4 linked regions of the Alligator mississippiensis genome follow. The protein of the gene in region 1 interacts with the protein of each later gene in a biochemical or structural test. Links are inferred from orthologs where the notes say so. Each region holds a gene or a part of one and is shown in the gene's direction. Other genes may lie near its edges.

Region 1 (7,982 bases):
CCCTCCCCTTCCTGCTCCCCTCCCTCCATTGTTCCCCGCCACATCCCCTCCCTGCCGGCTGTTGTTGTGGGGGGGACTCCATCCCCTCTGTTATGGTGGAGCTCTGGTTCCCATCGTCCCCCTCTGCCTCCAGAGCGCAAGAGAGGGGGGCGAGGCCAGCTCCACTCCCCTCAGTCCCCACTGTCATGGCAGCGCTCTGCTGTCTGTCCCTCTCTGTATAGCGCACTCTGATTGGCTGCTGAGACAGCCAATCAGAGCACGACTAGAGCATTATGGACAGACAGACTTGGGCTTTTATAATATTAGAATGGGTGCAAAACCCAGCGTGGATACTCACATTTTGGCTGAAGAGGAATTTATGTCGGTTTGGTTTAAACTGATTCCTAATCAATTTCAGCTAAACTCAGATAATAGAGCTTAAATTGAAATAAAAGCATCTACATGCTCTTTTGCCAAAGCTTAGTGCAATTGGCTCATGATCGCATCTTAGGTCAGGGTGGGCAAAATGGTGGATCTGTCTAGTGACCAGACTCCATTTCCAAGCAGCCTGCCTGGCTGGGGGCAGTTTCCATGGAGACCCCAGCAACAGCCTCACTGTGATAGTGCAAGGCCAGGGTTTCCATGGAGACTGGCCCCAGCAGCACTGGCAGGGTGCAGGGCCAGGGCAGAGCTGCAATTGGCTGCCTGCATGCTCCAGGCAGGGGTGTGCAGGCAGTGGATCACAGCTCTGGCCCAGCTCCTCCCAGCACCACTGCCATCACTGCCTGCCCCACACAGGTGGCAGCAGCTGAGCTTGCCCCACTCTCACCCGCAGCACAGCCCCTCCAGGCCTCCCACCAGGAAGAGTCTGGCGCTGCTGGGGTCGGTCTCCACCGAAACCCTGGCCCCTGGCTGCTGCTGGGGTCTCCATGGAAACTGGCCCCAGCTACTTGGGCTGGGGCTTCTGGGAAATGGAGTCCACTACTGACCGGATCTGGACTGCGACCCAGACTTTACCCACTCCCATTTTAGGTAAAAATAGGTGCAAACTTTTCCAGGCAGACCAATCCTCAAGTACCACTCTGTGTGTAAAGAAGGCCTAAGAAAGATAACATGGGTGCCTTCATGCCAAATTGGCAGAAGGTTTTGATTTGAAACTATCCAGGCCTAAGTGAGCTATGGGTCTTCCATCATGGAAACTCCTTTCAAAACAGTGCTGTAAAATCACTGACAAAGAGAGAGCCAGTTGCAATGCTAGATGGGACCAAACTCTTTGTCTTCAAATCAGCTAACATCCTTTACCAAGCTCACTCTGGGCTACCCTCCAAGATGCAACTGTGTTTTAACCCTCCCCCCCAATGTAAGAGGCTCCCCTTCCCTTCATTCTTCCTTCCCAGTCCTTGCACTCCACTTGCTTCTGCTCACTCACACACAGACATCTCAACCAAAGCACAATTGCTGCAATTGTAAAGCAGGGCCTGGCTGTTATCAGGTGCAGATTACAGAGAACACAGAGCAATAAACTTGTTTTCCCCTCTTTCTTTTCCCTCCCATTTTCAAACTGCTGCAAGAAAGAGAGGGAGAGAAAAAATAAATAAAACAACAACAACAGATGGGTTTTTTTTCTTCTCCTCTTGGCTGCCTGAAGGGCTCGGCAGAGGCTTGAATGGAGTTCATTCTCTAATAGTCCCTCCTTCATCCAAGATTTTCCTCCCCGGGGTGTAATCTGTCAACCCAACTCCTCCCCCAAACCACCCTCCCCTGCCCTGTGCTCTCCTTCAACTCAGAGACAGAACTGTGGCAGTCTATTGTAGCCCGGATGACAACTTCCAGCTACATGAGGAAATGAAGTGAGGTCTGCCAAAGGGAGCAAGCTCCTCATATTAGTCTTTTCAGGCTGGGGACAGGCACCAAGCAGTAAGCACCAAATTCCCAGCAGCAGCATCATGTCAATATCCACTCAGATCCAGTTCGCACATGTACTTTAGAGACGTTCCAGGACATAACCAAACTACCCTGTGCTAGTGGAAACATTTAGGATTTTAACTAGCGGGCTCTTCTCATACGCATTATCTTAAGAGTATTAACTAGCAACAGTTCCTTGTACCGAGAAACTGAAGAGGCTGCTCTTAAGTTGGGATACAGTATATTATATAGAAGAATAACTCTGAGATACTGTACCCCTCAGAAGCCTTCTGCCCGCCACGTTCAAAGACCTTAGAATATGAAGCCTCACAGTCTCCTGTATTTAAGATCCGTTGTGCTGTTTTAGAGCAAGGGAAACTGAGGCCTAAAAAGGTGAAGTGACATGTCTGAAGGGGTCCAGTTGGGTATGGCACAGATCCCAGTATGGGACCTGGGAGTCCTGTCTCCCAGTCACCTGCATTGACTAAATTAAGCAACCTGCAGTAAGGAAGTGACAACTCCTTGGCTCAGCGCTCAGTTACATTTCAGTGTGGAGGGCTGAAGTTTAGAAGGCAGAGCTGGATATGGGACCAAATTCAGCCTTGGGGCAAAACCACTACGAGTCCTTTGAAAAATCAGGGGGAATGGCAACATTATGAGAGCATCATCCACACTGGAATTGGCCCATTTGAGTGCATGAATGGCACTTGAATGCTGACTCCCTAAAGAACTCCAACAATAAGCAGCAAAAGTAACTGATCTGTCTTGGGGCTTTTAGTCTTGTCACGCTCATGTCTGGATAATCTGAATCAACGCAGGCTAACACCCTCTATTCAGTGAGCTAGAACTACCCTCTCACATAACACTTTATGGCTGGGGTGGGCAAAATGCAGCCCAGGAGCCAGATGTGGCCTGCCAGGCCATTTTATCTGGCCCGCGGGGCCCCTAAAAAATTTAGAAAATTCATATTAATCTGCCCTGGGCTGCCTGTCATGCAGCCCTTGATGGCTTGCCGAAACTCAGTAAGTGGCCCTCTGCCCAAAATCATTGCCCGCCCCGACTTTATAGGATCCTTTTTCTTCCTGGCAAGGTAAGGAGATGGGGCAGGCTGGAAGGCATCTTTCCACAGATTTTCAGGCCATAACGGGCCTTACTGATTATCCAAATTTACCTTCATTATCCTAATTAGGACTTTTCCATGGCATCCAGCCCATAGTAGTACCAGTTATTTCCTCACCCAGAAGCAAAGAGAGGTCTCTGCTGCTCAGTTTCAATCCAATTTGACTTTTCACAAAGTTTTGCAGTGCTCAGATTCAGGATCTTGATGCTGGTTCATCTACCAATCAGGGATTGAATAGGCCAAGAAATCCATCCTGGGAGCCTCTCAAGCTCCACCCACAGACCAAACTCCTCCCCTTGAGAGGTCAGAACAAAAGGCCACTTACAGATCTTATACTTTCACCCTTCTCCTTTCTCAGATATCCTTATCAGCAGCAACATAATTAACAGTGAATACACAAAGTAAAATGTATCAGCCCTGATCCACAGACTTCAGAGCTAACACCAGGCAGCAAGGGGCAGTTCACACCCCATGGATCTTTTGTTTCAGACTTTCAGCAAATTCAAGCAAAGATCAGCATTTATTTACAGTCCAGGATCTGAAGACTTTTTCACATTCCCATAAACACCTCTTAAGGAAAGCTTGGATTCTGGAGTGTAAGGAGGTCATCTCCACATAATCTCCTTGTGACAACACCACCCTGGCAATTTACAACTCTTATTTCTCCTATCAAGAAATGCCACTAATTAAGAAATATCAGGGGCAGGAGTGGTGATGTGAGATGCTAAAAACTCCAAGATCAGACTATTTTTCTTACAGCTTGAAGGAGGGACAAGGCGGCAAGCACCAACAGACAGTCTGATTTCTGAGGGGCTGAAGTTACTGATATGGGAGCTGGTGCCATCATATTTAAGTACCCCACAATTTTCCTTGCTAATTATTACACTGCAGTGTGGCAGGGCAGTGCCACTGTCCATCTATACAGAGTGGGGACTGGATCACAGTGCATCTACATGGCAGATTCTCCAGTGTATACATACCCAAACTTGCTGTACAGGAGCAGCTGCACAGAGCTCATTGTGAGCCAAGCTGTTTAATGGTAGTCTGGGTATCTTTGCACGTCAACGTAGGCTCAACCCTTACGTGACTTACCTACTATAGTCTCACACTGGAGCAAAATAGGGAACCTGGCGGCCACAGGACACTGGCAGCCCACATCCTCTTGCTTTACATGAGGTAGGTTAAGGTGTTTGTGGTGTCTTTGGGCAATATTCCTTGCAGTTGTGCAGCTGGGTTGATTGTGTGGTTTTAGGAACAGGCTAGACAAGGACTTGTATGGGATGGTTAAGATAGGCAGGGGGTTGGACCAGATAGCCTCCAGAGGTCCCTTCTAGCCCTGTCTTTATGACTCTTGGGCTTCCTATGATAGGAAGCCCAAGAGTATCCTAACACTTGCACCTTCCTTCCCTTTTGAAGGGGTTCAGCACCCTCACAGCCAACTGAAGATGATGACAGGCTGGGATTCACAGATAGGTGTAATGCCTATGCTTGGCATTACACCTATTCTTCAAAGGATCCTGGTGTTAATTTGGGCCCAGGGCCCAACCCTTCCCAGTGAGAGAAGCCTTTAAAAGCCCATCCCCTTCAAAAGCCTTCAACCCCCCTGGAAAACCTAGGTACGTATTTCACTGGTGTCTTGGGAACTGCACTCTTTTGGAAATCCATTGCTCAACCTCAGCCTGCAGAATGGCAGTGAAACCCATCTGCCAAGCCTCTCTCCCTTACACTCTCTTTTGTCTTTCCCTGGAGTGATTCCTAGAGCTGTTTGCCAGCTTGGGGGTACTAGAAAAAGAGATTTCCCCCCCACCAAGGCATAGGCAGAGATCAGCCCTTCCAGGCTGCAGTGTCATCCTATTTCTTCACCTCTCACTTGACTCAGATCTGTGCCAGGGCAGCCCGGGCTGGGCTGAGAAGGAACGAAAGAGGCAAAGAGCAAAGTGAAATCGGACTGACCCTGAAGCGGCAGCACAGGGAGAAGCTGCTTTCCCAGGAGGCGCACAATGGTCTTGGCACAGAGCAGGCACGGAGTGCCTTACCACTCCCAAGGGAGTTGGAATCCAGCTCAGGGGCGCGCCGCACGTCCCGAGGAGGAAGTGCAGTAGCAAAGTGGTGTGTCTCTGAGCTTGCAAAAGCAGGGAAAACACACGCGCGAACTTTCCTGGCCGGACCCCCCTCTCTCTGCCAGAAGCCATGGGCTGGAGTCTGCAATGAAAACGATGATCTCTCCCAGCAGCTGCTGCTTCTTCATGGGGCTGCTTTTAGCCTCTTTTTTGCCAGGCTTCTGGAGCACCGAAGGTGGGTCAGATTGGAAACGGAGGGGAGGGGGGAAAGAAATGGGGGAGGGGGTTGGAAACTGGAATGGGACGCTCAGGAAAGGGAGAAACTTCAGAGGGCCGGTGGGATGCGAGGGAAGGAAGGCAGCAGCTCTGGATCTTGAATATTCCGGACTCCAGCACCCCCGGGGGGGGCGGGAAGAGTGGGTGGAAAGCAACCCCCCAAAACTTCTGCTAAAGTTCATGGAACTCGCGTGGAGGCAGAGATCAGACCCACGGGAAGAATCGCGGTGAAGTTCCTCAAAGATTTAGCCGGGAAAAGCAGAAAACAAACTCCCCACCGCGAAGAGCCAAGTGCGAGGGGAGCCGGGAGCCGGGCAGGAGAAGAACTGGTCAATTACTCGAGCCGCGAACTTGACCAGGGCCCGCGAGCCCTGCAGTGATCCCGCCCGCTTCAGCCGCCACTCCAGTGTTGTTTCGTGGGGTTCATACCCCAACCAAAAAGGGCGATCGCTGCTTTTCTACCCCCGTCTCACTGTGCCGGCACCATGCCACAATCGGACGTGACCGTGAAGGCAGCGAGCGAACTGCAGTCGCTCTGGGACTGGCCGCGGTGCGGGGCCGGGAGAGAGAGACGGAGTTGGTTTTTAAAATGGTTTCTTTCATTCCTTTGCTGCTGCGCTGAGGCAGAGGGTGGCTTAGACATTTCGGATCTGTGGAGGGAGGTTTTATTGTTTGGTCGGTCGGCGATTTTGCTTCTGGAGCAGAAAAAAAAAGCAATATAAGGCAGGCACTAAAGTTTCAGGCTTGGCACTCTTTGCTCTCTGCGTGCGGGAAGTAAGGGGAGTGTGGCTAACTGGTAGGAGCCGGCTGGATCGCCTCTCAGGTGCTGGATGAGCTACGCGGCTCGGCACATACACTTGCATTTAGCTCGGTGTCCGTAGGGTCGCATCTGGGCCACTGGATAACCCAGAGAGGAGTTTACTTTGCAAAATTGGGAGTGTGGGGTTCTAGCTGGGCTTTGCAGCAGGCTTGGAAAGAGGTGTTTGTTTAGCAGGTTACAAAACACCTGATGGGGAAATAAGCTAGATGGCAAAGGTGTGGGTTCTCTGCATTGATGCAGATGGCAGTGTTGTTACCACCTCACCTGTCCTACCCGCTGGGTCAAGCCCTTTATGGCAGCTGAATGCTGTGAGGCTGCGGCCTTATGGCTACAAGTACATTTTGTTGGGGCAATTCTCACCCTGGGAGAGGAGAAAGGCAATCTAGCAGGTAGGGCTGGGAAGGGGAAAGGGGTGGGTAAGAATTACCTCATGAAGGCAACAAACAAGTCATGAGCATTTTCTGATTCCTTAGCTGGGTATGGGCAGGACTGGCAGATTAGGCAGATCCACTTGATGCCCATTTCTCTTAGCTCTGTAATACCCTCGATTTAGTGATAACAGGCCCTGAGCCTCAAAGAATAGTTTTTTGTGTCAGACCTGGCATCCTGAAGTGCTTCACAGACTTCACATGTACAAGAATAACCTCACTGCATGGTGATGCAGCCACTGCTGGGGTGGAGCTGCTTCATAGTCTAGACTTTGCCAGGTGTAGTCCTGGCAGAAGAGCCTTACAACCAGCCTTCCCTATGTCCTACCTTCTCTGTGCTGAGGGAAAGCTCTGCCTCTACTTGCGCCAGGCTAGCTGGAACTCGTGGAAGGAGTCTAGATAGTCTATATCCTTTAGCAGGCTGTGCCATGAGGCTGGCCCTGGTGACATGGTGGTCACAGTCCAGAAGAAGGCTACCCAAGAGTTTGACAGGAAGTAAAAGGAAAACTCCTTCAAATGGAATCCACAGGAGGGAGCAGGATTTCACTTGGCAGAATTTATTTGGTCAGGACACCTGCTCTTGAAGGGTGGAGCAGAATCCCACAGGATTCCCATATTATATCAAGTAAGGGTAAATTAGCTTGATACCTCAGCTGAAAGACAGAGCCTATGCCCCTGCTTGCTATGGTTCAGAGGGAGAGCTGCCTAGTGCCTACTGCTGCAAGAGCACTGTTTGGGTTTCCCTGTGGGTGTGTCTGTCTGCCTCTCTCTTTCTCATACACATTCTCTGTCCACACCCCATCCTATTCTGCTGGTGAGATCCTAGCAAACACCTGATAGTAAGTCACTTTCCCTAGTTCACATGCTAACCTGATTTGTCATGTTTACCTGGAAGAGAATATCTTACATGAACAGCCACATCAAATCCCCATGAAAGGGAACCCGTGTGGGGAATGTGGGATATTCTGGTGAGATCAGAATGACAGGGTTCCAAAGCAAACACCAGCACCATGCTGTTAACACTCCTGGCATTAAGAAGCCTGATCTGAGATTTTTTGGAAGGTCTTTGCAGAGGCTAAAAGTCACATTAGCTCCAGTCCTTTCTGGATGGAGTTCAGCTTGTGTGTGGTCCCATATACAGGTTGCCGTGCTCATGTTCAAGTATCCACAGCTCAGGCACCTGTAGAAACTCCCTCAGTCTATAGCATTACAAAGTCACTGCTGCAAAACTACTTTAGACAGTGGGTGGTCTGAACGAACTGAGCCTGACCTGTAGGATGTGGGGCAGGCACACAGGCCATTTACTTTGGGCGTGACTGCAAGGTTTACATGTAGTTTGACCCCTGGGGTGAATCTCTTTTATTTATGTATGTGCATTGTCTGAAGTTTTTTTG
Region 2 (7,870 bases), on another chromosome or scaffold:
CCTCTCGCCTTTTCTGTGGGAACTAGAGAGAACCCTTCCCATGTCTTCCTCCTCCTATGTCTCCCTAAGTTTGGCTTTGACTAGACACTAGGTGGCAGTTTCTGCTCAACCCTATAGTATTTTGCTCAGCTACACTAAATTTATGGTGATGGATTCCTTCTGTTATTTGATAAAGGAATTTCCCATCTCCTAGTAAAACTTATTGGGTCTGTTGAACCAGTGATGGTGTGGGAACATACTAGTTTCCCATGAACCCAAGTAATTAACCCCTTGTGTTGGGCAGGGGCCTGTGAACAGAATCAGCAGCAGGTAAGCGCTATTTTTTCTTACTTCGTGCTTACAGAAATGTGGAGCTGGTACTTTCCTAACTGGTCGCTAGAGGTCCCTGCTGTTCTACGCAAACTCAGCAAAAGAAGTGCCAAACCTACAACTAAATCCTGAAGGATGGCAGAACGCGGTATCTCTGGGGGCTCACTCTGGTTTTTGTTCAATTTTTAAGCCAGCAGGGTTTTTATCCAAGTAGCTTTACAAGCCAGTAGGCAGCTTTTTCATTTCTACCTGTCACTTGCAGAGTGAGGGATGTTTTACTATCCCGGCATTTTCAAAGGAGCTAAAACATGCTGGGAGTCTTGTTCTCATTGAAATCAGGTGTTGGATTCCCTTCAGCTCCATTGAACCCCAAGTCTCTGAACAAGTTTCACATCCTACAGGAAGAGGATCCAGAAGGGTAAGAAAGAAACCAGTCTCTTTCCACAGAGGAGGCAAGCCTGCTTGATTTTGGTAGTTAACCCTGGTGGTGGTTGTTGACATGCCGTGGGCTCAGAATTTGGACCGGCAATCCTTAAGCGCTGTTACGATGCTCAGCTCTGATCTTAGCGCTGTTATGGTGTTTGGCTCTATCTGAAACAGAACCAAGTCACTAACAGTCTAAATGATGACAGAATAACCAGAGCAACAGTTCAACCAACAGCTCGGGCAAACAGGTCAGCTTGGGGGGCCTGAGGAATGACTTCTTTTCAGAGTGCTCCTGCCTTTGGAAGAGACATATCCAGAACGGGCAGGGAAGTTATTCCCTGTGGAGATCCACTGATAACATTAAAAGCTCATGTCAGGAATCTTAAATTGGAGTTGGGTTGGGTAGAGTGGAGTTTATTGGTACTTGGTTCCCCCTTGCAGACCCACCTGTAACGTTACAGAGGGAGGGCGTGGGGAGATGATGATATACTTCGGCATAAGTTACATCAGTGTGGTGCACCTATAGAAATTGTACCAGAGTAGGTAACAGACAGTGCAGCTTATCTCAGAGTAGCTCAAAGTGTAGTCTGCTATTATGGCACCTTTCCATTACTTGGTAGGGGAACAGGTAAAAGCCTGTTCTGCTTTGAGCAAATAGCTACTTTGGCATAAGCTGGACAGATGAAACCTTCCCTGGTAGTTCACTGATGAAGAACCCCTGAAAAAATCCAAGTATATTATTTGTCTGCTTGGGCAACATTACCCCAGTTTTGGGGGCTGCATCTGTCTGTTATGTTTTTACACTTGTGTAACACTGATGGAACCAATATATATGGGTCATCAGTCCATGTCCAGAGTCACCTGAAACTTAGGGGGAAGGGAAGGTTTAGGGGTTGTCTACGTGAGGAAGCTTTTCCAGAAGAAGAGAGTCTGAACTTGAAGCATAATAGCTGTTCCAGATAGCTCCTGGTGCGGACACTCTTATCCAAGTTAGCATAATCCATTTCGGAAAAAAGAATTAAACTAAATCAGGAAAAGGTGCTTTTCTCATAATAAGAGCGTCCACCCTGGGAGCTGTTGAGGAATAACTCATTCTACAATAATTATTCTGATGAATTACCCTGTGTAGTCATATCTTTTAAGAGCTATGAGCCAGAAGATTGTACAGGGCAGGTGAGAGTTCCCATTTTGGGGAATAGTGAATGACATCACATCTCTGCCATCACAGGGTCTTTGCAGGGAGAAACACACAGGACCAAGTGTTAAAGGCTGTGCTCTGTGGATCGATTCATTGAGCTGCAGTACCCTGGCCTCCTGAAGCTGAGGGCACAGGGGTGGAAGAAGACCATTTAAAAAGTGAACTGAGCTAGGAAGTGATCTAGACACAAGAATTCATTAGGAAAGACATTACTGGGGGTAGATTGGTATTTGCCGCCCCCTGGAATCTGCGAGGAATTACACGCGAGACTTTAACTCATCGGAAAGCATGTGGCGTGCAAACACCTACTCAACGTACCAAAATAACCTGGGTTAAAATTTATAAGGTGCATTAAATTAATGAGGATCAAATGTTAAATTAATGAGGATCAAATGCCGTGGCACGTACAAATGCCCAAGGATTTTGGCAAAAGCAGGGTGAAGGTAAAGATGATTCCTGGCAGTTCTCCGAGGGAAGGATGTAAGCGAATTCCACGCAAGGGAGACGTGGGGGAGGAAACAGAAAGACCAAGGTTAACTTCTGGCTTGGGAGCAAAGGGAAAGCTAGAATCAACAGTCATGTTAATTGAAGGAGTGCTGAGGCATCCAAATGGGCACCAAATGCACTCAGAACAAGCTGGTTTTAATTTGTTCCATCTACACTGAAGTGTATGTAGTCTGTGTCAGCCACCATTTAGCCTGTTTGCAAGCTCTCTGTTGCACTTGTGCATGTTTGGATGCAAAGAGTATTAAGCTTTGTTTAGGGCAATGATTCTCAACCAGGCTCCTGCAATACTCTGGTGTGCTATGCGATCCTTTTTAAGGTGACACAGGGTGCAAACACTTCCACAATTCACAAGATAAAGCCGAAGATTTCAAAGGGGAATCCATAACGTCAAAAACATTGTGACTTTTTTGTGGCTTTTCTGAATTCTTTGCAACAGAAAACTTGCTCTATTATTTTTCTGTAGTTAAAAAACAAATGAAAGCTAACACCTGGCACTTTCTGAAGGGTGCCTTGAGTCTAAAAAGGTTGAGAACCACTGGTTTAGGGGGAACAAAGGGCAAGTACCAGGGTAAGCTTCATCTACAGCGGAGGAGCTTTAAAGTTTTTAGGACCCATCATTTACTTCTCTTGGAAGGATTTGCAAGGGAGGGTTCTCCTATTGATGGGTGCTGCTGGCAGAAATGAGAGAAACATTGAAGCTACTAGGTGATTGCTGTTGTTTTTATTACTGCTCAAGTTTGAGTTACTTTAATAGCATCGAGAAGGACCTCTGCCCTCCCAGTGATGTGCGCTGGGATTTTTAAATCTCATGCAAACGTATAATTAATCCAATTGTTGCTTACTCTGATGTAGTTACTGGGTCATTCCTGGTTCATGCCTGTGTTGCAAGGAAAGTTTGGGGAGTGGTGTTGGGTGAATTAAAAATGAGCCCCAGCGGAACGACTTGTCAGAGTATAAAAAACCCTGCTGTCAAAGGCAGCCTTGAAGCCACTGTCTCTATTTCCTGGGGACCAAACAGTTTACATGTTAAGATTTGGCATTAAGGTAGAGAACAAGGGGGTTTCAGGATCCTGTGAGGCTGGGGGTTGGGTGAAACCTCATTGCAGCTGGTGGGTGTAACCACCACACTTCATTCAGGAGGAATGCAAGAGGCATTGAAACCCCTTCTGTGCAAGAGACAGCTGAAAGAGTAGGAGCTGCTTTCTGCAGCCCTGGCCACAAGCAAGACTTGGCCCTTGCAATCTGTGGGTTTTACACGGGGGTATCCTTTGGTGCCCTGGGCGGTGGAGGAGGAAGGGAGAAGGGGAGCGGCAGAAACACCAGGGAGTCGGAGAGAGAAGGCAGCAGAGAAACCTACGTGATCTAAGCCTCAGTGGCGGAAGCTTTTGGGTGGCGTGCTGGCTGCAGAGAGGCCTAGACCTGTTAGCAAAGCAACTGTCCAGCTGTGTCCTGGAAAACAGGACTCTGAGGATGTTCTTCATAAATCAACTGGATTGCATCAAAGAAACAACTGTCTCCTCGGCTTTTCCTCTTGCTGGAAACAATGCGCAAGGTCTGAATGCTGGCAAACGACTGGAGTCAAAACAGGTGACCATCATTCAGGCGAACATGTACATCACAACTGCGCCTAGACCAGGGGCAGGCAATTATTTTGGGTGAAGAGCCACTTACCGAGTTTTGGCAAACTGTTGAGGGCTGCATTTCCCTTCCCCGTGCAGCGAAGCAGGAACAGCCCCAGGCTCCCAGGCCAGAAACTTCTGCTAGGCAGGGGGGCAAGGGCTGGGCCAACCTTGCTGCTGGGTCCTGCCACTAGCTTCCTCTGGGTCCTACCGGCCCTGGCTCCTGTCATCTTTGACAGGCAGCTAGGAGCAAATAAATATTAATAAATATTAATTTTCTAATTTTTTAGGGCCATATGTTGCCCACCGCTGGGCTAGACAGAATAGGTCCTGCTCAACTGTGTGTCGAAGGGTTTGGTCACAAAGCACCTGGAGAAGCGGCTCGCAAACTTTTCGAGTTGGGGCCCCCCTCCAGGACTACTTGAGGTGGCAGCATCCCTGGTTTGGCACCACTGCCACCTGGGAACGGGGCCCCCGGTGCGGAGCCGGCTCGGGCGGCGCTGCGGCACATGCGCACAGACGCACTGCGGAGGCGGGAGGGACCCGAGGGGTCATGGCAGAGGACGGGAAGCGCACGGAGCTGCATTATCACCCCGCTCTCCTGCGCGCTTGGGACGGACCGCACCCCGCCACAGCTCGAGTGGCGAGTGCAGCCCCGCCTGCCCCCGCCTCCTCAAGGGTGCTGGGGGGCGGGGCCTGGTGACGGCACGCCGCTGCCGCGCTGGCTCCGCCCCTCGGCCAGCCCCGGGGCGGGGTGGGCGGGGCCGGAAGCGGCCGGGCCGCGGCTTCCGGGAGCTGCTCTCGCCGCTGCGCTCCGGGCAGCGCCCCCGCCCCGTGCCCCTCCCCCGCCCCCTGGGGTCGCAGCCCCTCCCCCCGCCTGACCCCCCCCCCCACTTTTGGGGTCTGAGCCCCCTTTGGGGTTTGAGCCCCTCGTTCTGCCTTAACCCCCCCATTTGGGGTTTGACCCCCCCTTGTGTGGCCCCAGACCCAACCCCCCTCCTTGGGGTGTGAGGGTGACCCCCCCACGGGCAGGGGTGCATGAAGCCGGCCCAGCGTCCCCGGCTCCACCTCTGCCGAAACCGGCCCCCCGCCACCTGCCCATGGCCCCCACCGCCCGCCCCGCGGCCCTCGTGAGCGGGGCAGGGTGGGGGCCCGGCCGCGTCGCTCCGCCATGAGCACGAGGCACTGGTGGCGCAGGTAGCCGTGGGCCAGCGTCCGACGCGGTCGCTTCGGGGACGACGAGCCTGGTGTGACCGAGTTGGCGCCCCCCAATACTTGAAGCCACCCCCCCCTCCCGCCCACTCTCCTTACCTCTTTTTTGGCCTTTCTCACTGAATGCTATGCAAAAGAAAAGGAAGAAAAAAAGAAACGCGGACCCGGACTGCGGGGGAATGACCGTCTCCTGCCCTGGGTGACTGGTGCTCGGCGAGATGAACTCGTTCTCGTCCCACCGGGCGGACGAGCCGCTGTAGACGGGCCCCTTGACGCTTCCGTAAGCCCTGTTGTCCTTCCTGAATCTCGTTACCGTGCACGGTTTCACGTCGAGCCACCCGCACGGCCTCGCTGAGCGTCGGGAGCACGGGTGCACCTGACTGAACTCTCCGCCTCAAGTGACTTGCTTGGAGGATGGTGTGAACACAGCCCCCTGCTCCTCGGTCGTCTCGTTTTCCTGCAAAACTCCCAGCCTGGAAGATCGGGGCTGTCTGTGTCCGAATCGTTCTGGTCCTGGGAGCGGCAGCCCAGCGTTACTTTATGGGGCAACAGCCTGGAAAAGTTCTTGGGGACCAAAGGAGGCCGAGTCTGCCTGCCCTGCACTTCATCAAGGGAGCAGGGAAGAAGGAGTCATCCAGGCATGGAGGCCCTCACTGCAATGTCTTCGTGGAGCATGGTAAGGGGCTGAATTGACCTGGCCTCTACAGCGCACTATTGGCTTGTTGAAGGGGTTAAAAAAAAAAAGCAGAGGTCAAGGTTTTTTGCTGCTTATGCGTGATTAGTGCCTAAGAATATTTTGGCATGTTCAATTGCTGTTTCCCAGTTGCGTGACTGATGAGTGGGCTTGGAGAAGGGAGCATTATTATAAAGCTTAAATGCAGGGAAAGCAGCTTCTTAGTAAATTAAAAAAGAGAATCTGTCTTTTCCTCTAAGGTCAGAGAATATTTTGCATCCTTTCACTTGTGTATTTAAAGGACATGAACTAGTTTGGTAATACGTGTCCTTGTGAACCTCTGATTGTGCTTAGAAGGTAGGCTGTCACTTCTGTGGGTATGTTTGTGATGCCTGGAAGCGTGTGTATGTGTGCGTTTCCCCTGTGAATGGACATCACTCTCAGTTTCATTTCCTCTGGGTCACCAGCTAGGCCAGTCTCCTGGTGTGACGATGCCTGTAGGTATAGGGCTCTGCACACATGGACCTGCTTTCAGGACAGTGACTTTTGAGGGACTTTGTACGACTGCGCTGTGCACCCAGTCACGGGACAGCCAATGGTCAGTGCAGCCTGGGGGAGAGGGTGATAATATCCATAACTCATCATTTGAACTTAGATTTTTTGGCTGACTAAATTTTAAGGTAATAGGGCCCCTTCTAAAAGATGGATGCAGAAAGAAACTTTTAGACTGTTCCTCACTTGTCTAGCACTTCATTTGAATTCTTCGCTTCTTTTAAGACCTCTCATTACTTACGGCTTTCTGACAAGAAACAGATCACGACCATGTTTGTCTGGGTAAAAATGCTGAATAAAGTAACATTATCATCCTTGTCCAGTAGAAAACTTTGCTAGATTTGTCTTCTCAGAAAAGACCAAACTAGGTGAAGATGTGAAAATGAAGTCTGCGGAGTGAGGTTTGTTCGGTAAATGGCTTTATTATGTGATTTTAATTTTTCAATGGGACCAAAGAATTCAATAGGGTTCTTAGCAGGAGATGCTGCAGATACACTGACATGTTAAAACCAATCAGAGTAGTCCCGACTAACTTATTTTTCCCTGCCTGATCACTGCACAGCAATTGTTTGTTAACTGAAGCTGAACCGTGGAAAGCTAGGCAATAGCGGAGCTGACCCAGCCCTCTTATCAGTGGCATGTTCTTGCTATGAGAACACTCCAAGCCAAGGCTTCAGTACCTTGGAAAGGAAAAAAGAAAAACAAGTGCACCCTCCCCATCTCTGTTGCTTCTGTGCTTTTCGAGACAGTTTCAAGGTCAGATGGGCCAGAGTGAGCAACAAAGCACTTAACTACAAGCAACGCAATATTCTGCCCAGCTTCAGGGTTTTGATCTGCCAGACAAGGCAGCAAGCCTGCTTTTTGCTCATCGAACAGGAGTAGACAGATGGTAACTTTTTTTGCCAGGATGACCTGAGGTCAGGAGAGCCTAGCACATTTGCAAGGAAAAGGAGTATCTATGATACCCATACTCCATATGTCCACCAGAGACCTTGGTGTCCTAATTAAAAAAAGAATATAACTTGAAAGAGGCCATCATGACTAGTACATCTGTTAAGGGATTGCAGAAGTACGGTCTCACTTACCCACATGAGGGAAAGCTTCTCTTCTGAGTATCTGAAGAGGCTCTCATCAACACAGACAATAGTTAAGTCTGCTCTGCTGTTTCTGTTCATCTCTGCTATGGGTTAAGGCTGTTTAAAAAGCTCCTGGCTGAAACCTGACCTACAAAACACTGTTCTGTGAATGAATTGCATGCCATTCTTGGGAAACAAACCAGCAAGGAGGAATTGGTAGTAGTCTTTGGTGCTCCTTATCGTTCTCAAATTGTGATTCTTGCCTTTTAAAAGAAAACGTGCTATCATCCAACTTTAC
Region 3 (7,239 bases), on another chromosome or scaffold:
CATGGGCTTGCAACACCCTTCTCCCCAGCTGCTGCTCCCAGCCCTGTTCTGAAGGGTAGGAAAGGCTTAAAAGGTAAAACCTCTCCCCTACACACAACACCTGGTGGTACAGGTAACTATGGAAGAAGCTACCATAGGTTCAAGCAAGAGATTCTGCAAGCTAGTGGAGCAGACACAAGGCAAGGTGAAGAGAGAGATCGCACAGCAGCTGGTGCTGATGAGCAGGGACCTACCGTGCCTGCAAGATGCATGTGTAAGAAACCAAGGAAATCTACTTGATACAACTGCAAGGCACTGCCTGTGTCTCAGTTACTGGACACAGAAACTTCAGGTCACAATTTGGCACTTAAATAAATTTTCACTGGAGGATCTCAATGGAGCGTGCGGTGGCAGGGGAGTGTTATCTTCATAGCATGGATAGGGAAGGTGGAGCAGAGACCAAGAGACTTGTCCAATGCCACAAAAGCAGCAACAGAGAAGAGGAGGAAACCTGACCCCCAGCTCTGGGTATGAACTACTTTGTCCAGTAGTGCAACAACAACCTTGCCATAAGCGCTGCAGTTCTACTGGCTTTTCAAGACAAGACCTTTAAAACAGAGATGCAGCAAATATCTTCCCCCTCCCTCCACAGGTCCTACTGCAGTGTGGCCCCCACCCCTCACCTTCATTTAGTTTCTTGGTACAAAGCTGGATCCTGTCCAGGTAGCAGATGTAATGCTTGAGGGAATACTTAATGGGGGTGAGGCCTGGGATGGACTCCACTGCTTCATCTGCCATGAAAGCCACAACCTCAGGGGCTCCTGCTGCCAGGATTGCTGAAATGGGAAGGTGGGGGAGTATGCAGCAGAGGAACTGGACAGGTTGGAGGGGGTGGGGGATAGCAGGAGATGCCAAATCCTTCATCACAGCAGATGTCCACTTTCTTAGGGCCTTGGGGCTGGCTCTTGGATGCCTGTCAGAGCCTGCCAGGGCAAGCTGGCACATCACAGAACCTGAAGCCAAGCCAAGAGGACTTGTGCACACCAACACTCCCAGGAGAGATGGGACTGGACCAGTGCAGGGTTCAAGGGGAGGCTTGCCCTTGGGCAGCTGGAATTACCTCTGCTTCCACAGATAGGTGTCTCTCCACCAGCTCATCACAGCAGGAAATACACCAAGCCAGTGACTCAACCATCCCAGCTGGCACCTTCTCGTGCAGGTTTGCATGCCCTCGACCTGTACTTTCTGCTGCCCTCAGTGCTAAGGACCTCTTCAAGGTTTTGGTTTTAACAGGCCACTAGCAACTAGTTTGGCTGCCTGCAAGACTAGGAAGAACCAGTGGCTTCCCCCTTGTCCACAGGGCTGGGATCTAGGGCCACCGCTGTTTCCCAGGAGCCATGAGTGTCAGCATCTTGCATCCCACTATGCAAGTAGCAGTGCATGGCTGTTTGGGTGAAAGTGCTGACCAACCCTGGCTGTTCTTTCACTTACAGTTTGGTCAATCCATGGCTCTACCCCCTTATCTCTTCCCCATCCCTCACTGAATTCCCTTAGTCCTTACCTGAAGCTGTGGCTGGTCCTATAGCCTTTAGCTGGCTCAGCTCAGTTATGGCAGCTGCCACATCTGGGAGGAGCTGAAAAGCTTTCCTTGTACAGCGCTCCACTGTCTCCTGGGAGTTAGTGGCCACCAGCTGCTGCAGACGAGGACGGAACTTTCCCCGCTAGAGGGGAGGAGAGAAGGCAGCAAGGTGAGCCCCCCTCAACTGAAGACTTAGCTGTGCAGGTGACTACAGCTCATTGCTTGTAACCCCAGGGGCTGAAAGGGGCAATACTCTTATTAGAGGGGATCCAACTCTGAGGCCATGAGTTCTTTGCCAACCCTTTGAAAAAAAAACAGAGCAATTCTTTCTTGGTATACATTTCTGTTCAACTGTAGTCCCCTGACTATGCTCTACATGCCCCCTGGGATCCACCACGCCCTAAAGATAAGACTCTGAGGTCAGAGAGAAGATAGCCCAAGAGGTCTTTGCCTAAAGCAATACTGTCCAACTCCCCTGGGCTTGTCCTAAAGCCACATCCAGACCACAGAGCTCCTCGTGGGCTAGATCCAGATCTACCTCTGGCAACAGGGGAAGTGGCAGTGGTGTGAACTGCTGTGGTTTCCTGGGTGTTTGTGTTGGCTCAAGGAGCCGAGAGGAATAACAGTCTTTGCTTGCCCTGCTGCCACTGAACTGGCAACAAGGCTCTGTGCCCTAGTATTCAGCAATGGGCCCAGCCCCCACTCACCCCAACCCCTCTAGGAGTCTTGTGGGCTGTGACAGGTCCGAGGGCCAGACCTGGTCTGCGGGCTGGGTCTTTGACACCCCTGTCCTAAGGAATAGGAAGTTGGGTAACCAATTTGGAAAATGCAAAGTGGTTTGAGGCTGAGCACAGTGTGCCTGGAGGAAAGTTTACTTGTTCACAACTCTCGTGTATCTTTTCCAGCTACTACGCCACCCCCTTACTCTGCATCTTCTCTGGGATTTTACCTTCCTTTCCTCGTTTTCCCAAGTAGACAACAGCCTTGCCTTCACGGCTCTATCCTATTACCACGACACTCCTATCTCAGTGCAGTTTCATCTACCTTCTCCTTTCTCCCAAATATTCTTAGTGACTAAGCCAGCCTGCTGCTTTCACCCTGCCCAGCTATAATTGGACCAACCGCTCCATTCCAGTGGATTCAGAGCCAATGAAAATAATTCAATTATAAGCTCACTGATGCAGATAATCTCTCTGTGCGCTCAAAGAGCTGTGGGCAGTACTAACGCTGTGTAAAAACAAATTAATAATAATTCCCCTGGAAATCCAATCACAGGCCTGTGGAGCTAGTGGGAGGAAACTGACCAAGCTGTGTGAAATGCAAAAGGTTAGGATTTATCTACACTCAAACTGGTTTGCTGCTATAACATGACTGGCATGGCTGGACTGCTAAATCCCCTACTGGAGATGCAGTCATTGGATCCTTTAAACTGTTGTGTTAGGACAGCTCACACCAGTTCCCCAAGTGGAACAGACTATCCCAGAAATACGCTGCTTTGCCATCGTGACTGTATCTGCATTCAGGCTTCAGTCGTGTAAGCTGGGCGATAACAAGGTGAGCTAAGGACAGAGCTCCATCATGCTCCTAACTAAATTTGTTCGGCTAGCAAAGGTGTTTACATGGAGACAGGATCAAAAAGAAACGTGACATTTCTAGAGATGAGGCTACTGACTCCTCAGGCCCGACTTACCACAGCCTGTCTGCAGCTGAATGCAACTTAGAGCAACCCCAAGGTTGTTGCAGGTTGAACCAGGGTCCAGACTGATTAATTGATTAACAAGCCGCAAAGATGACATAAAACTGCTTCTCTACCCCTGCCCTGGGCCAGAGGCTATGGCCGGCCCATGATTTCTGTCTCAACCTTAGAAAGGTAAGCACAACAGTTACCAATTTAAATAGCTGTCAGACAGCTGGCGCGCACGTGCTCCCGAGCGGAAGCAAACACTCAATACCCTGCAGACGTCGGATCTCCCAGCACCTGGAAGAGATGTCGCAGCCCGTGGGGGGCTGAGACCCCCGTCCCAGCCGTGCATCCACTCCCATTATAGGGCTGAGACGCTGCACGTGGCCATTCAGCTGGGAAGTGACTCACGGTGAGTTTCCACTGCATCAGCTTCACTACTTCGCCCTGGGTCAAATGCTTCTCTTTCCGTCCCGCGAGAGCAGCCGGCAACTCCTCCTGATACCTGAAACAGAGCCCAGAGCGGGCAGGACTCGCGCCGCCGCCTGCACCCGACCCCCTGCGGCCCCTCGTGTCACCGGGGCACCAGAGCCTGGGGCTCCGCACTGGCGACAGCTTCGGGCGGGACGAGCAGTTGCGCGGGCGCCGCCGCCGCCGCCGCATTTACCATTTCTCCAGCCCGGCGAGGCCTTTCCGCTCGCTCCCCTTGGCTTCGACCACCGCCCAGTGCAGGTCGCGCACTCGTCTCCAGCACGCGGGGTCTTGGCAGCCGTAGAGACCTCCCTTGGCCGCCATGTCTGTGAGGACCCCTCGCTCCCGCGGTCGCCCCCGCTCTCCACCAACGCTCCCAGCACGCGCCGTGCGATTCGCGCCAGCTTCCCAGTGTCCCCTGCGGCAGCCCCAGCCCCGCCCCTCACGTGACCCCTCCCGCAGGCCACGCCCCCGTCCCGGAAGTTCCGGCGGGCGGGGCGGGGCCGTGGCTGTGGCCGGCGCCGTCGGTGTCGCAGCCGCAGCGCAGCGCCAGGCCGGGCGGGCGGGCGCGCGCGGGGATGAAGGGCAAGGAGGAGAAGGAGGGCGGCGGCGGCGGCGGCGCGGGGCCGTGCGGGGCGGGGCCGCGGGGCGGGGGGCCGGGCGGCGCGGGCGCGGGGCCGGGCGGCGGCAGCCCCGAGAAGAGCCACAGCGCGCAGGAGCACAAGGAGCAGGGCAACCGCCTCTTCGTCGGCCGCAAGTACCCTGAGGCGGCCGCCTGCTACGGCCGCGCCATCGTGAGTGCGGGGCCGGGGGAAGAGAAGGGCCGGGCTAGGGGCGGTGCCGCCGCCGCGCGGCCTCTACCGGGCCCCGCCGCCCTCCAGCGCGCCTGGCTGGCAGGGCCCCGCGGGCCACGGCGGGCCGGGGGAGGCCCCTTAGCGCTGGTTCCTGCCCTGGCCCAGGAGCAGGCAGGAGGGCAGGGGCGGCCTAGAGCCGGGGGCGGAGTCCAGGGCTCAGGACCCGCGGAGCAGTTGCAAGACCCCCGAGCAAGTGGCCCAAAGCACGAGGTCTGTCCCTGTGATACTGTAGATGTTAACATAAGCAACACTGAGGAAAAGGAGGTTTTGTAAAGATGGTGCAACATACATATCTGCATAATGAGATCCAGTAACAAGCAAAGGTCAAAATAAGCTAAATATCAAGGCTGAGTGCAGCCTAGTAGACTGTATATAATGGCCCAGGAGAGTAGTGGAAAGTGGTCACACACCAGGAAGCCTCCCAGCCCCAGCGGTTAGGGAAGTCTGGGGGTGGTGTTGCCCTGGGTTGCCCCTAACGCACGCAGGTCTTCTTCCAGAACCGCAATCCCTTGGTAGCCGTGTATTACACCAACCGGGCCTTGTGCTACCTGAAGATGCAGCAGCACGATAAAGCCCTGGCAGACTGCAAGCATGCACTGGAGCTAGACAGCCAGTCTGTAAAGGCCCACTTCTTCCTGGGTCAGTGCCAGATGGAGATGGAGAACTATGATGAGGCCATCGCTAACCTGCAGAGGGGTGAGTGCCTGCCAGTCAACAGGCAGCTGGGCCTGACTCAAGGCATTGACAGTCTTCATAGTCTATTGACCTTCCCTGCTAACAGGAGTGCCCTGGCTGCTTTTAACTTACCGGCAGGGGGTGTGGCTGTTCTCTGTTCAAAGGTGCTAGGATGGAGGCCCTAGCTAAGCTGCAGGCAGGCCTCCCATCCTGAACGGGCACAAGTAGCGCCCACCTGCAAAACTACAGCCTGTGAATACAAAGTAGAAAAGGCTGGAGTTGAGCAGGGGACAGCTTGGAGTGACCGTACGTGCACAGCTTCTCCCTAGGCCGGGGGTGTTTGGAGCACCAGTTGAAAGCCTGTGGGAGTTCAGTGCCTCTGTGCTTGACCACACACCAGTCATGTGGCTGCGGGTGAGGCCCAAGGGGGAGTCAATTTCTTTGGCAGCTGCTTGGAATTCAGTCCCCAAGCAGTTTCTCTGCAGCTGGTATGGTGGGGTTCGGGTTGTAGCCTGCAGCTTCAAGTTTAATGAGCCCTCCCCATTTGCTGCTTTGTGCTACAGCAGCAGCATGACTTAGGGCAGTGCCACTCAGGAGCATATTAGCCACTTAAAGCTGTAGATGTCAACTTCCGTCTGCCCTGCATGTGTAGGTGCTGGCGTGGCCGGAGCAGAAAGAGTGAAACCATCATCTAGAGGCTGGTATTGCACTTCTCGTGATGAGCTGCACTGCCAAGTGGGTTTAGGAAGGCTTCTCTGCTGACCTCCACTTTGTCTCCTCAGCCCACAATCTTGCCAAGGAGCAGCGGCTGAATTTTGGGGATGACATTCCAAGTGCCCTGAGGATTGCCAAGAAGAAGCGCTGGAACAGCATTGAGGAGAAACGGATCAACCAGGAAAATGAGTTGCACTCCTATCTGACCAAACTTATCATGGCTGAGAAGGAGAGGTAATGTGGGTAGGAATCTCTTCCCCCTCAGCAGCTAGGAGGGATGGCCTGGAAGAATATCAGGCCTCTGCAAACAAGGGGAAGGAATTGGAGAGTCCTCTGAAGGATGAGGGCAGCCTGGCCTCATAGACTGACTTTGCTATCTGGGGTGTGAGGAAGGCAAAGGGGTTGAACACCTGCTGGCATCTGCTGTTGCCCTAAGTAGTCTGGTGCTGTTATAGATGGTGGAGTCCCTTTCTGAGAAAGTCAGAGGCTTTGTGCCAGGGACCTGTGTTAATTGGGAGGTGACCGCTCCTCCTTCTCCAGCATGGTGTTCCTGGTTGCTTGCCAAAGCTTGCTCTGTGCTGTAATATTCTTCTGCATCTGTCCTAGGGAGCTGGACGAATGCCGAAGGACACAGCAAGAGGAAAACATGGATGAGAACCGGGGCAGGGCTCAACTGGCCAACATTGAAGCCAAACATGTAAGGCATCTCCCTCTTTGTATATTTGGGACTCCCAGGGGGGTTGGACTGTTTCAGTGTGTTTTTGCTTGGGGAGAGCTGCAAACTTGGGGGGTGCTGCTTCCTTGGGCCACCCTAGCATGAAAGGTGGTAGCCAGACCTTTTTGAGGTGAGCATAGACCTATGGGTGACCTCTGGGTGGTTGAACCCATGGGGGCACCAAGAGATGCCACAGTAAAACCTTTGTGGGAATTCTGGAGCACAAAGGGGAAGTGGCTGTCACCATGTCCTGCTTTCCAGGCTGCTGTGCTGAGCGAGGATGACTGTTGGGAGCAGAGCTATAATCACAATTGCAACAGGTCAAGGAAACAAAGCAGGTTTCCCCTCACAGTGGCTGCTGTCTCCAGTGCTCAGTGTTTGTATAATGCAGGCTGCTTCTGAAGCTCTTTTTACACCAGGTGCCTGTCCAATACCAGCAGCTGCAGCCCATGTCAAAAATAGGTTGAATGGTATTGCATCCCCTATTTATATCCTGTGCCCTGTCCATGCTGTGCGATGCATCACTCAAGGTAGCTTGTCTGCTGTGTGGTGTCTGCTCAGGGCACAGTGG
Region 4 (7,107 bases), on another chromosome or scaffold:
TGTTTTAAATAGTTTTAAGAGAAATTGGCAAATGCCATCTTCATCATTTCTCCTGGATGTGATCCCTTAGCATTTTCCAACTTAATTCCTTCTTTACCTATCATTATAACTTAATTTCATTTGAAGACTGGGGCAAAAATGTACCTACATTACTCCAAACTCAGTGGCACATGTTTGCTACTCTTTCTAATTTCACACCTTTTACAGCACAGTAATTATATTGATTTCAGTTGAATAATTCAGTTGTAAAACAAATTTGATGGTACAAGGAACAGGACTTCAGCACATAGACTCCTAATTTACACTGGTATGAGATTTATATCTAGCCTGTGAATTTTTTTTTCTTAAACAGGAAAGTAGGTGGGGTTAAATGATGCTTGTGTTGTACCATACCACGCATCAAAGCTAGGCTTTCAGTTAGAGGGGTTTTAGTGTTACTGAGGCAACAACTGAAGAACAAAGGATAACATTTTTATATGAACTCAAGCAGACGATCAAACATGACACTTTCTACCTGTAAGTAAATTCAACCATGTATTTTGTACTTTATGTTCTGTTGTGTGTAATAGCACTTTAGCTAGCAAATGAGATGTATAAACATCACTGCATAGTCCAAGTGGCCTTTTCTTGCACTTTTAGGTTTTATTTGTTAAAAACTCCTGGTGATAACTTTCCAAAGTACATTACAAAATTGCTATGATGGATTCAGTGAAGCTACTACCTTCACAAGTACAAGGATAGAGAACTCAATTGACTGGGAACACAAGGGAATGGGAACCAAAGGCCTCTCCTTAAATTGCCTTTAGAGCATAGATGTAATACATAAGTTTTATGGTATGAAAGCTACCTTTCTGGTTATGAAGATGTTAGCTTAAGAAAGAGTTAACTTAAAGAAAAATACTAATATTCCAGTAAGCTTTATTTATGAAAGTTCAAAGTTTGGTTACAAAAATATTTTTTACAAGCAAGCTACATTATTGATTTACAAACAGGCAGTGTTTACTACTGTTTTAGTTTGGATGAATACTGAGGGATATATGATCAGTTGATGGGGATTTTCTATGTTACAAAAGAGTGAGATTTTTTTATTGATGAGTAAAGATGGGGTAGGCAAGTCAAATATTCCTCAATGTGCCCAATTTATGTGGTTAGCTCAACCTGTTCAAAATAGTAAACTGTTCAGGGTTTGATATGAGACTGCAACTGAGCTGTCAACATTTAGCATTGCTTTAGAAGTAATGAACACATGCTTACCCCTCCTTAGAAACTTGACAAACAAAAATATAAAAAGATGTATGATAAGAAAAACACATTTCTAACTAGACTTTTGTTTTGTCTGGTTGTCTGATGATACATCCCAATTCACCTTAATGAGAACAGTTTACAAATGGACATGGAAAGGATATGAATTACATGTATTCATATGTGTGTATTGGCCATGGACCTGGTAGGTCTATTAACTGAAAGGGCATCATTAGGTTGTCACATTTTGTGTAACCTCTTTATAAGCTTAATATTTTAGGACCAAAGTTGCTTATAATAGCAACAGGAACACAAAAGGCTCCTGCACTTCTTTATATTCCCCCTTAGTTTTCATGGACATGTCTGCATTTTCTCCTCAAGCAGCTCACCTTTTTTCATCACCACTATAAGCCTGTCTTTTCTTCCTCCTCCCTTTCTCTGACACACTAGACTCCTGTTCCACATAGCTAGAGCCAGCTTCAGCTCCTTTCCAAGGTAAGTTAGTTCAATAGCGGCTGTTAGACATTTAAGCTAAAGATTCCTCAGCGTATCTTTTGTCACTCATTTCTCAGCACCACCATCCACGATGACAACATGACAAACTTGGGAGTCAAGGGATTTCAGCTGGTGTAAATTTTAAGTCAAGTTATGCTGAGGATATGGGCTAAGGATGTTTTGGCAGCAAGGGTGGAAATGTTGTCACTATCACTTCCATGTCATGGTGATAAGAGAATGGCCTAAGAGATTCATTTTTTTTTATATAGCTTATGGTACAATGTTTTTCTGTTGTACTACACAGAGAAGAAGGTGCTAAAAACAGGTTGGCAGCAGAGCAGCTTTAGGCAGATTTAGTTCCAAACAGAAGTTGACTGTAGATCAGACATGCTGCAGGAAAAGAAGTAAAGGTATTTTCTACCCAATCAAGTCACATATGATATCTGTAGTTTATAATATTGTAAACATAAATGGCCACCTTATGGCCAAAGAGCAATGATATATTTGGACTAATGTAATTGGGGCAGGGATGAACACTTTGAGTCCATATCTTATTGCTATACAGCAAACTTGTTTGGCATATACAAAATGTTTTTTCCTAGTTTGGTAGGGATTTAATCTACAGTCCACTAAAATCAATGAGAGCCTTTTCATTGATTTCAGTGGGTCTGGACTGGACTGAATTCAATGGATGACTTGAATCCAGGAAGAAAGTATGTAAAAACAATGTTTTAGCTATAAAAAATAATGGACGAAATTTGTTCTCATTTACATGCTCACAGCAGAATCTGCTTTTTTGTGTGTGTTAGTTCTTTTGCTTCAAATTCTCTCTCTCTCTCTCTCTCTTTGGAAAGGAAAAAAAAACCTGCAAAATGAGAGGGTAGATGGCCATGGGAGTCTATATATTGCCTATGCATCTGTCAGGAAGTGCAGGCTTCCTGTAGCACTTTATTCAGTATTGCTATGATACCTGAAGGCAGCTCTGGGTGAATATAACTTCCTGTGTTGCTCATATGAGACTGTGACATGAATCAGGCTATTAGTTACTCACACAAGGAACTAAGAAATTTGACATTTGTAGAGAGGGTTTGAGTTATACAGATAAGAAGGTTAAGTCTTCTTATTCCAACATTATACCTCAAAACAGCTATGGGCTATTCTGTTGGTTTAGTGGCTTGTGAACTAAAAATTCTCATTTCAAGAGGGTCAGAATAGGAAGGTGATATCATTTGTACTGTGTAATTAAAAAGCTTCCCAGTGACCTGGAAGGGGCAACTCTACATAATTAGGCATTTGTTTGAGGTAACTTAGTACAGGTGGGCAGTATTGCGGTTAAGGGAGTTGACTAAAATGAGATTATATCCTAAGAACTTCAATTCCCATTTTTTAAAATTAAAACTAAAAGGTTCTTTGAGAACTCATTCCATGATACTGTCCTCAACAAACAGTACATTTCCCCACAGAAACATGGCACGTGAATAATTCAGCTTTCAACTTTATTTACTACTACTGGGTCCAATTTGCAGCTGCTAGTGAGCAGCCAAAGCAGGAAAATATTAAAAAGACAAAACAACTCCAGAAATCAGACTGCAAAGGATGGAGCTGTTTAGATCAAGAGATATGCAGAGACAGATCTGCTTCTAGAGAACTGAGACTGTCTTTTCCTTAGGGTCTTGATCATAATCCTTGCTTGAAAGATAAAGTGAAGCTGGGGTGATCTCTCCAGGGCGCAAAAGCCTGGGCAGTATATATGGAGACAGTGAGCTGCCCACTCACCAGTGTTCCCCTCTCAGCCTTGCTGGTTTAATCTAAAGGAAAAGCAGATTAGGCTCCTAAGGATTTGGGGTTTAGCAGGCCTTCACCCTTGTTATGAGCCTGGCATACCAATCAGGAAAGGCAAGCATAAGAGGAAGGGAGGGAGAGGCAAACTGCAGGACTGCCCTGTCCTTAGCATATTTTCTGCTCATGTCTCTGCAGAAGCCAGTCATTTGGGCCACTCTGACTCACAGTGCTAAGACTAGGAACCCTGTTCTGAGTTAAAGCTCAAAACTTGATGCAAATTTTGCTCAGGTATGAATAGGGATCTAAAATGTGTCATGTGAAACACCCCCTTACTGATTCAACCCATTGCTTTTTACAAATTCATGGGCACTATAAGAAACTGCCTGGTAAATGTATGATTAGAATATCTATAAAATTTAGTATAATCATGTAATTTATTGCAGGCTTCTCTTAACCCAGTAAATTTCAAGTACCAATCATTAGCAGAGAGACTGAATTTTACTTAAGTCAGAAAATTTGTAGATTGACAGTCTAGACCTTACTCATATCAAAACACTATACACTGATAGAGGTCTATAGCATCAGCATGAATTCCTCTATATTTGTTGTTCCAGTCAAATATTCAGTATTACATAAGAATGATGGTTTAATAATACTTACAAGTTCTATAGCGCCCAATCTTAAGAGCTCTGATAAGTAAGTTGTAAAAATAACTGAATCTCATAGGGGTTAATAAGAAACACTAAGAGACTACTTTACCCACCATGGAAAAGTAGGCCCTTTTTTTGATGGAACAGTGTGTGTTTGACAACACATGGCAACACAATACAGCCATCTCATAGTGTTTGCATCTCCTATTGAAACAGCTGAGGAAATCTTGATAAGTGACAATGTAATTATCTAATCTAGAATTTAGTCACCCTTGCTCTTTTGAAAAGCAGCATAAACCCTCCCATGACCAAAAATAATCAGGCCACCTTATTCAAATGGCCATACCTTAAAAATGACCCTTCCCAGACATTTATTCAGCACTGCTTGGAAGGGCAGAGTGCCACCTGCCAGCTCACCAATTGTATTTTCCTCCTGCTTAGCTCTGCCAAAACAGGCTACAGGTTGACTAGGAGAGCACTTAATGTACAATGTAAAGTTATGCAGCAAACAGATCACATTACCTTTGCTTTTCTATCTAACTTCTTTAGCCAAAAAATGTCACTGTCAGCTGGTGTGGGTATTTACAATATCCATACTTTGCATAGCCGTCACTGGAAACTTTTATCAAGCTGTTTATGATGTCTTCTGATTAAAATAGGCTCACCAACATCCCACGCTGTAGACTCTTCACAGAATGCCACTGTCAAGGGAAATTGTCCCCACAAGCCTCGCTGGCAGATATTCAAAGCAAAACAAGCATGAGCCATAATGGGTCTCTTCCTCTTCCGACTAAGAACTAATTTTGATATTATCTTCCTGACGTTCTGACATCTTTTCCTTTCTTTTTATAGTGCAAGATTAGTAAATTAGTAAAATATTACACAGGTCTGTAGTGGTCAAAAAAATTCAGGTTTCACTAGAAATGCCACAGAAACTTAGACTTTTAGAATGCTATGTGTACAGACATTCTCAATAATCTTTGCTGTGCTACCATGCTGGATTATATCCAGCTTCAAATTGACTCTCCCTCTTGCAACTCATCCAATCCCTGTCCATCTGCCAAGGCCTCACACAAGCAATTCCAACCAAGCAACCTAGCTCAGACCTCTGATGCTGCTATTTTTCCTGTTGACACATTTGTGTCTTTTTCCCACTCGTGCATCCTTCAATTTACCACCAGAGTATGAGGAATTGCATAAATCCAGTAGTTGTATCATACAAATGTGATTTCCCCTCCCAAGGTCAGATATAAATTCTTGGTTTAACAAACTGTCAAAAGTCTTGGTTTTAAGCCTTTTATACCTGAATTATTAATAATGATGATAATTGTACCTATATGCTACAGCTAGAGATGTCCAAGCTATTTAAAAACATTAGTTAATTCTCACAATGTCCTATTTCCATTTTATATGTGGATAACACAAAGCAGAGAGAAGATATCAGTAACTTGTCCATGACCATATAGTAAATAAGTGGCAAGCCAGTTACCTCCCAAAGAGCCTAGCATTTCACTACCATCCTCTCTTCCATAGACTTATGTTCCATAAAGAATAATGTTTGATAAAACTTAATTGAAATATGTCATCCCAAATCTTTTACACACAATAGTTTTACAAGGATCATCATCCCAGGTTGGGCTGGGGAAATAAGCAGCCAAAAATAGTGATGGAGGAGGGGAGAGGGAGAAAGAAAAGGAACAAACTAAAGTGGAACATAGTAAAATGACTGTGCAGAGATCGTGTTACATGAAAACTAAACTTGGAAAATGGTTGCTCTTTGGGAGACCATCTAATACATCTCCTTAGATCTTTTTTCAGTGCTGAATGCCATGTCCTTTGTAGTAGAGAACCGACAGTACTCAGCTGTGCTAGATATTGAGACTGCTGCACAGATGTGGAACCTGTTGTTCTCTTTGGATATTTGGCTTCACCTCTTACTCACCCCTTTTATTTAATTCTGGGTATGTCTACACATGCAATTAATGCAACTGAATAAACTCCAGTGCAATTTGAGCTAGAGTAAACTAATCCTGATGTCACCATCTACATGTGTGTTTAAGTGAAGTAATTCACTCCACTGCCAGATAGTATCTGAGTCTGACAGGACTATTCAACAGCACTGTAAATTAGTCTACACCATCCCAATTGCTGTACATGTGTACAGGGTAATGCTTTACTGTGCAGTAAATTAGTTTACAGTGTGATAAAGCACATGTGTAGATACCTCATCTGTACAGTCCTGGGCTTCGCAATCATGTCCTCAGTGACTTGTCCAAGGTTTTACAGTGAGTCCAGCTAGTAATAGAACCCAGCACCTATGTTACTCCTCATTTCAGTAACCAAAAAATGCTAAAAATATGGGAAATGTTTTTTTCAGATCACACCATCCAATCTGTTTTCTGCTGCTGCTGCTGCTGTTCAGTGCAAAAAAGGTAAATCAAATACGTTATCTTCCCACTAATCAAAAGCTATATGCCTTGCAAAATAATTACATATAAACCCTCATTTTTTGGTAGATCTGCTGAAACTTGAAAAACATGGATGCATTTCCCCTTCCCACAGCTAATCTGAATTTTGATATATATATTCACATAAACACTGTGTTTGTCTTTCAAAATTAGAGCGGTGAGAACAAAATTGAGTCTGGACTGTGATACCTCACAACAACTCTCCTATGCATCTACCCAGAAGTACAGAGTAAGTAATATTTAATGGACAAAGGAAACTGAAGTATAAAGAGGTTAAGTGCGTAGTCCAAAGCCATATAGTGAATCAATGCAGTGCAGACGATGGGGTAACTAAATCCCTACCAAGTCTTTTGAAGTTGTGGTGCTGCAGATTTTATATAAGCACTCTAAACAGCATTTTATCATGATTTAGAAGTAATGCATTTTCTCAGATAGGAAAGGGCTGATTATAGCATCACTTTCATTTGGCC

What was found.
Region 2: the proteins of ERBB2 (region 1) and ABL1 form a complex in vitro, tested with the Homo sapiens proteins (3 studies listed by BioGRID and IntAct, with this or other methods). The link is inferred for Alligator mississippiensis from reciprocal best matches to the Homo sapiens genes ERBB2 and ABL1.
Region 3: the proteins of ERBB2 (region 1) and STUB1 form a complex in vitro, tested with the Homo sapiens proteins (4 studies listed by BioGRID, with this or other methods). The link is inferred for Alligator mississippiensis from reciprocal best matches to the Homo sapiens genes ERBB2 and STUB1.
Region 4: the proteins of ERBB2 (region 1) and TXK form a complex in vitro, tested with the Homo sapiens proteins (2 studies listed by BioGRID and IntAct, with this or other methods). The link is inferred for Alligator mississippiensis from reciprocal best matches to the Homo sapiens genes ERBB2 and TXK.

What each region holds. Positions count from the first base shown.
Region 1 is NC_081827.1:165,333,963-165,341,944, reverse strand, and holds the start of ERBB2 (receptor tyrosine-protein kinase erbB-2), read left to right. Parts: upstream 1-4,972; 5' UTR 4,973-5,211; coding exon 5,212-5,299; intron 5,300-7,982. UniProt on the Homo sapiens protein: Protein tyrosine kinase that is part of several cell surface receptor complexes, but that apparently needs a coreceptor for ligand binding. Essential component of a neuregulin-receptor complex, although neuregulins do not interact with it alone.
Region 2 is NC_081835.1:59,333,725-59,341,594, forward strand, and holds the start of ABL1 (tyrosine-protein kinase ABL1), read left to right. Parts: upstream 1-4,858; 5' UTR 4,859-5,811; coding exon 5,812-5,947; intron 5,948-7,870. UniProt on the Homo sapiens protein: Non-receptor tyrosine-protein kinase that plays a role in many key processes linked to cell growth and survival such as cytoskeleton remodeling in response to extracellular stimuli, cell motility and adhesion, receptor endocytosis, autophagy, DNA damage response and apoptosis.
Region 3 is NC_081836.1:29,911,675-29,918,913, reverse strand, and holds the start of STUB1 (E3 ubiquitin-protein ligase CHIP), read left to right. Parts: upstream 1-4,231; 5' UTR 4,232-4,288; coding exon 4,289-4,504; intron 4,505-5,061; coding exon 5,062-5,260; intron 5,261-6,021; coding exon 6,022-6,187; intron 6,188-6,559; coding exon 6,560-6,650; intron 6,651-7,239. Other genes in the region: uncharacterized protein LOC106737444, read right to left, coding at 663-815, 1,541-1,700, 3,537-3,744, 3,907-4,034. UniProt on the Homo sapiens protein: E3 ubiquitin-protein ligase which targets misfolded chaperone substrates towards proteasomal degradation.
Region 4 is NC_081825.1:57,156,817-57,163,923, reverse strand, and holds the start of TXK (tyrosine-protein kinase TXK), read left to right. Parts: upstream 1-4,105; coding exon 4,106-4,215; intron 4,216-6,790; coding exon 6,791-6,866; intron 6,867-7,107. UniProt on the Homo sapiens protein: Non-receptor tyrosine kinase that plays a redundant role with ITK in regulation of the adaptive immune response. Regulates the development, function and differentiation of conventional T-cells and nonconventional NKT-cells.